Linked DNA regions of Ovis aries. The protein of the gene in region 2 interacts with the protein of the main gene of each other region in a biochemical or structural test. Links are inferred from orthologs where the notes say so. Each region holds a gene or a part of one and is shown on either strand. Other genes may lie near its edges.

The links. The genes of interacting proteins can lie anywhere in the genome.
Region 1: of the proteins of STAT1 (region 2) and PRKCD, one has a biochemical effect on the other in vitro, tested with the Homo sapiens proteins (2 studies listed by BioGRID). The link is inferred for Ovis aries from reciprocal best matches to the Homo sapiens genes STAT1 and PRKCD.

The regions. Positions count from the first base shown.
Region 1 is NC_056072.1:47,855,499-47,858,998, forward strand, and holds part of PRKCD (protein kinase C delta type), read right to left. Parts: intron 3,421-3,500; 5' UTR 3,402-3,420; coding exon 3,287-3,401; intron 2,155-3,286; coding exon 1,955-2,154; intron 670-1,954; coding exon 609-669; intron 444-608; coding exon 281-443; intron 183-280; coding exon 151-182; intron 1-150.
Region 2 is NC_056055.1:193,229,021-193,232,520, forward strand, and holds part of STAT1 (signal transducer and activator of transcription 1-alpha/beta), read right to left. Parts: intron 3,353-3,500; coding exon 3,311-3,352; intron 1,766-3,310; coding exon 1,682-1,765; intron 1,053-1,681; coding exon 954-1,052; intron 1-953. UniProt on the Homo sapiens protein: Signal transducer and transcription activator that mediates cellular responses to interferons (IFNs), cytokine KITLG/SCF and other cytokines and other growth factors.

The DNA of each region.
Region 1 (3,500 bases), on a different chromosome or scaffold from region 2:
ACCCGCCTGGAACACCACACACGCAAACACACACACAGGCTTCTTGCAAACACACCATCCCAACACAGGGACACAGACTTTGCTGTGAATGCACACAGGCACACACGTGTACACACATGCGCATACACACTGGGCCACGGAGACACTTACGCCTGCACTTGTAGCCTTGCTTGTTGAGACCCCTGAAAGGCAAGTGACCAGTCTAGGTGAGTGTGGGGAAGGCCAGGGATGGGGGCTCTCTCTCCTGCTGCCCCACCCTGGTGGGCACAACCAGTCTCACCAAACAAACTCTCTGCACACGGAGCAGAATGTGGGCTGCCCAAAGAAGGTGGCGATGAACTCGTGGTGTCTGATGTAGTGAATTTTGGCTTGTTTGATAGCTCCACGGCGGTTCATTGTTGGGAACTTGGCCTCGTCTTCACTCCGCATAGACTGTTTGCAATCTGGGGGCCAGTGAGCAGAGAAGTCAACCCTGGCCCTTGGGAGGGGCCGTACCCTTTCAGTCCCTCCCAGAGCAGTCCCAGACAGACCACTGATGGAGGCTGCTTCCCTAAACCTCCATCTGGCCTCTGAACCTCCACCTCTAGCCCAGGTAGGGAGGGGCTTACCTATGTCTTCCAGGAAATACTGCACTGACATCAACACCTTGGCCTGGGGTTGCAAGTCCAGCTGCAGGGGTGAGGGTGAGGGAGTCAATGAGGGCGGGCCTGGGCCAAGTCAGACTCAGAACCCGCCCCCATGGTTGGTCCCTCAAGGCCCAGGGAGTCCTGGCCTCCGGTTGGCCACCTGTCTGCCCAGAGTGGGCAGGGCCCCACCCCTGAGCCCCGCCCCCACCCCTCATCCTGGGGTATTATTACATTTGGGGAAGTGAAAGGATCCAGCCCACACCCAGCTTGGCCACATGGCCCTGGGAACAGAGTGGGAAGGGAAACTCCCCACCTTCAACCCTGGCCACCCCCTTCAGAAGGATCTTAGAATGTAGGTACCCCTCCCCACCCCCCAGACATACATAGGCACACGCACATTGAAATGGGCTGCTGGTCTCTCTCTCTCTGTGGCCAGTCTCCTCACACAGACTGGCTGGTCCTTAGGACAGGACCCTCAGCTTCCCCAGACCCAGGGCCTGGAGCCCGACTGTGTCCATTGGGGTACTGGACAGACACATGAGGTGTCTCTGCCTGATTATTCAAGACTGGGTGCAGCCCCAGGTCAACCTCTGTCCTGGCCAGTTCCTTCACCCCTCACAGGAGGCTGAGCAGAGTCTCCATGGTCACAGGGTCTTTCCTGGGGGGGGGGGGGGTGCATCTTGGCTACAGGAGCCCACATGTAACCCCAGGGGGTAGGGATGCTCTGCCAGCATGGGTATCCTGTGGTCACAAGGGACACATGGCCACATGTGGGTGCAAAGTCCAGGTTTGGGCAGGTGAGTGGCAGGCTATGATCCTGCTCCCCACCCCTTTGCTGTGGAAGATCGTAACTGGTGTTCCCCAGTGCCTGCCCGGGCCTGGAATATCTGCGAAGACTCCAAACAGAACTGGGAACACTGGGGGTCTCTGGGAAGTGGGGACTGGGGCCTGGTGTTGGGGCCAGAGCTGCCCTTTTGTACAGCTTGAGATGTTTAACTCTGTACATCCTGCCTTTGCAAAATTAAAAGGGAAAAAAAATCAGCCACAACAATAGGAGGGCTCTCTTGAGAGCTGCCTAAGGGCCAGGTGCTGCAGTAAGCCCTTCACCTTCAGCTTTCCATTCCTTAGAACAATCGACCCCAAGGTAGGTCTCTTTAGCAGGTTCTTCTTTTACAGATTCAGAAACGGACTCAGAGAAGCTAAGGATTTGATGACTCGCAGGACCAGGATTCAAACCCAGGTTGTTGGTGGCCAGAGCCTGGGGTGCCCTTGGCCATCCCCGCTCCCTTTGCCCTCCCACGTTGTGTGCCCGTGGCTGCGCCCCTCACCCAGAACTCGGCCTTGCCATTGTTCTTCTTGCAGCGTTCGGCTAGCACTGACACACCCACCGTCACCTCGGACATTGGCTCCTCAGCGGCTCGCATCAGCACTATCTGGATAACGCGGCCCTCATAGATGTGAGCATCGAACGTGGACTTCCACTCAGGGTACATGGTGGGCTTCTTCTGCACCAGTGTCTTCCCGCGCTCTGCAACGGGCCAGGCAGGCGAGGTAGGGCTAGGCCCCTCTGTCCCTCCCTCCCTGACCTCCCCATGGCCTTCCATCCTGTGGAATCTGCCTGCTCTTTCCCCGAGGGCCCAGGTCCCCATCCCTCAGCCCTCACAACTGTGCTCTGCACGCCTCACCCTCTCACTCACGATCTGTTCCAGAACAGAAAAACACCGGCTGTTCCATGAGGGCACCCCCAGCAGGTTCCTCCCTGAGCCTGTTCTTGCTACTTCCTTCTCCTGTGACCCTCTTCCTCCAGCCCCTCTTAGATGTCACCTTCCCTTACGCATTTACTCAGTGAACACTGCTGCGGGCTCCCACATGCCAGACAGGATACTGGAGGCAAAGAACATGGTGCCCGTCCTAGAGCCCCAGTCCTAGGCAGAGACATGAATCCATTCACCCCTCAAGTGAATATTAAATCGTAGCTGTGATGAGACTGAAGAGGGCAATGTCAGTGGGTCTAGACCTACCCATGGTCAGGTGGCCTGCCTCAGCCTAAGAGTCAGGGAAGGCTTCCTAAAGGAAGGGACAGCTCAGCTGAGACCTAAAGGATGACAAGGGTTCACCAGGAAAGGACAGAAGCAAGCAGGAATGATGTGAGATGTTTGCTTCTTCCAGGAAGCCCTCCCTGACTGCAGCCTGGGATGGGACCTCGTCTGGATTTCCCTATCACAGGATTCACTGTCTGGCTCCCCCACCTGACTGTGAGCCCCATGAGGGCAGAACCTGGTCAGCCTTGAAGCATGGCATTGTCCTCTGTTCCCAGCACAAGGCCTGGCACAGATGGACACATGGAGCTCCTGCAAGGAGCCCATTCTTGGGCAAAACAACAAATGGGGAGGAACCAGAAGCCCTGGGCCCCAGAGAAGGTTCCGTATAGCCAGTGCAGGAGGTCCTATAGGCAAGTGGGTAGTCTCTACGGTCCTGCACTGCCAGGTGAGCTGGGCAGGGAGATGAGACAAGGAAGAGAAGGATCCCTCAAAGGTTCTAGGAGAACAACACACAGTTCCTTCCATTGCCGCCGCCTCCTGGCTCTGAATTCCCTGCCCCACTGGCAACTCCCTGTTGCCAGTGGCTGCAGATGGGTGGGGTCCAGCCTCTAGCCCTACCTGTGCTGAGAGCCTCCTTCATCTTCACAGCACAGAAGGGCTGGCTTGCCTCGTCCACATCCTTCAGGGAGCCCAGCTCGTAGGAGTTGAAGGAGATGCGCAGGAATGGTGCCATGTTGGGGCCTGCAGTGGGGCTGCAGAGACAGAAGACCTGAGGCAGGCGGCAGGTGCAGCCTGGGGAGGGTGGTCAGGTACCCACTACCCTCAGAGCTCC
Region 2 (3,500 bases):
GCAGAAGAAGAGAAATAGTTCTATTTGCAGACTCATATCTGTGCATTTTTCTACTCACTAAAATTTAACCCCCGAATCAATATTCGTGGCACTTTGGCACTCATTTGTGGACATACCCAGGCACAGAGCCGTGAAAACTTTGAGTCGCCAAACATGTGTTTCCGGTTGAAGTCAAACAAAGCTATGCTCTGCCTTCCTGTTTCGGCTCTCACACTACACCCGAGTGTCTTCTCTGAGATCTGTTTAATGCTGTGGTCTCTGCATTTCTGGAGGTTTTTTTGCTGGCGATTTCATTTTTAAATATGCCCCTCAGAGGCGAGTTGAAGTGCTGTCTAGTGTTCCTAAATGCCTTAAGGAGCCAACGTACATGATATATAAGCTCTGTTCAGACTGAGTTATAAAGCTGCTTGCCATGAGTTCGATGTTAATGAATGAACAAGTATGTTAGATAAGGGATCTTTGAACAAAACAAGGTGATGTATTGATCTGCAGATGCAAGGGTTTTGCCAGAGGCTGACGGGAACCCATACTTCCCTTAGGCACAGTGATTCAGTATCCGCTAAATCAGTGTTCACAGTGACTTCAAAGAACCTAAGTACAGTGAATAACTGGAATCAACTGAAACTAACTGACCATGAGTATCCGCATTCTTAAGAACAGACCCTCCTTGTTTAGCAAGTGTATACATTTTTTAAAAAGCATAACACAAAATCATCTGTTGCCCAAGCTTATTCACATGGAAGGAAAATCATAATTTTTAATTTCTAGTACATACACACGCTTCTGGAATGCTTCGCTATTCCAGAATTACTCAGCTCCTTAGCAATGAGTTGAGTTGTGCCACTTTTCCCCCAACATCTGGCCCATATAGGCTCTTTCAAATATGCAGAACTAGAGCGGGGGGGGGGGGGGGTCTTTAAACCCTGGTATGAAAGTAGATGTGTTTTCCTTACCCGGGGTTCTGCCACCAGCATGTTGTACCACAGGATAGAGGCCCAGCCACTTGGGAGCTGGCTGACATTGGAGATCACCACGACAGGTAGAGAGGTCGTCTACAAGATGACAAAGACCTTAAAATCCTCGGAAACCCAGAAACAGTACCTGCAGACCACTATGCAGCCTCACAGACTAACAAGGAACCCTATGTACATTCGCGTATATTTTATTCTTAAAAATTAAGAATGTAAAGGTACAGTCTTTGGTTTTTAGTTGGATTTATCTTTGACATATATTTTCAATTAAGAAATTAATGTCAAAGCTTCTTATAAAAAAATTAACACAGGACATCTCAACGGGAACATTTGGCTTATTGGAGCGTCCCTTGTGGCTCAGCTGGTAAAGACTCCACCTGCAATGTGGGAGACCTGGGTTCGATCCCTAGGTTGGGAAGATCCTCTGGAGAAGCGAAAGGCTATCTACTCCGGTTTCCTGGCCTGGAGAATTCCACGGACTGTATAGTCCATGGGGTCGCAAAGATTCGGACACAACTGAGCAACTTTCACTTCAGACAAAGGTTAACTGAGTTCTCTGGCAGACGGAACCATGAAATTAGCATTGAGAGAGTAATGGCTGAAAACAGCAGTCTTTTTTTAGCAATTAGATAAGTATGTCTAAAATTAAAATACATGCATCAGTTTAAAGTGAAAATAAAGTTTCCCATCCTGGAACATGTAAGTCCTACCTCCAGGTCAATGACCAAACCAGGCTGGCACAACTGGGTTTCAAAACTAAGAGAGTGAAGCTCTTCAGTGACGATGAGAGGACCCTTAAAAAAGAAAACGGGAAAAAAACGAATACAGTGATTCGTTCATTGATCCTGCAATCAGCAAGAAACTACTAAGCATTTTAACAAGCTCCAGAAAGCATGAGCCCAATCAGGCACAATTTAGAAGATTCTAGCTTTTAATACAGAGAAGGCAATGGCACCCCACTCCAGTACTCTTGCCTGGAAAATCCTATGGACGGAGGAGCCTGGTAGGCTGCAGTCCATGGGGTCACGGAGAGTCGGACACGACTGAGCGACTTCACTTTCACTTTTCACTTTCATGCTTTGGAGAAGGAAATGGCAACCCACTCCAGTGTTCTTGCCTGGAGAATCCCAGGGACAGGGGAGCCTGGTGGGCTGCCGTCTATGGGGTCGCACAGAGTTGGACACGACTGAAGTGACTTAGCAGCAGCAGCTTTTAATAATCTATCCCAGATTTAATTATCCCAAGTATCTCAGTGTTCCCTCAAAGACCAGATTTCTAATATTCTGGCAAGGGTTATGGATTAAGGGGAAAAAAATGTCTTTAGGGAAATAGCAACTTCTAATGAGTTTATTCACAACCTAAGGCTTCCTGGCCCTCGGTCCCCTCTGCCCACCATGGACCCGCCTGGCCTGGGCTGCACACCTCAGGCTGACAAGGGGTGGAAAGTGTACACATGTTCCAAGTGTGATTATCTGCCAGGAGAGCAGATTTGCATAAGCCTGGCAGGTTATAAAGTGCCTTGGTTGGTTTGGGTGGAAAGGTTATTGTGTTCCCAGTGCCTTCACACACATTATCTAATGTGAGCCTCACAACAACCTTAGAACCAGAGAGGTGTGACTCCATTCCTGCTCCTGGGAGAGGAAATTTAGTCCCTAGTTGGTTACTAAGAGTCAAGATCCAAAAATGAGGGCTGGTCAGGCCCAGGCGGGCACCTGTCCCACAGCTCCACGCGCCCTCTGCTGGTTGTGGTAGGGAAGGACAGAGTGCTAGGCAGGCACAAAGAACAAAATCCAACCAAACCAAAGCAACTCTAGCCAGTCTGTCCTCTGCCCATGGTTCATATCTGAATGCATCCCAAACAGCTCTTCAAGGACAAGCTGTGACGAGGGGGCTGACAGAAGGATAACGGCACTGGACAGGGCACACACAGTTTTTGGCAGGGCAGTCATGAAGCTGGCCTCTGATTCCAGCTTTGACAATTACTTCCTGTGCACGCTTAGCTAACTCTTGCAAACTTCCTGCGGTCCAATTTCCTCACCTGTGAAATGTGAGTAACACAGTAGCCCACTGTACCTATTCTGCTGGGCTGCTGGTGAGGGTCTAGAAAATTCACGGGCAAAATCCCTGGACAGCCAGAAAGCACAAGCACAGAGTGGTTCTACTGTTGCCACACGTGCACCACGCCCCAGAGTTTGCCTGCCGCTCTCGCCTGCTGGTCTTCCCACTGCTCAGCCCTCTGTGAGCTGTCCCTGGCCACCCGGGACCGCCGGGGCCATGGAGCCAAGCTCACTGGACAGAGCTGCTAGTTAAGAGACCAGTCACGACAGAAAAAGACTTACCTCATTAGTTCTGGCACCGGCATTTTTTTGTTCTTTCAGTTGCTACAAAAAAAAAAAATCTTAGTAAATAGCTATATAATAATCCTCAAAGTTGCTACTTTCATCTACAAATCAAAACAAGTGGGGACTTAGAATGAAGGAGGTGAAAATATTTTGAGGATGCAGAACAGGAGGTGAAGTGACCCTGTGG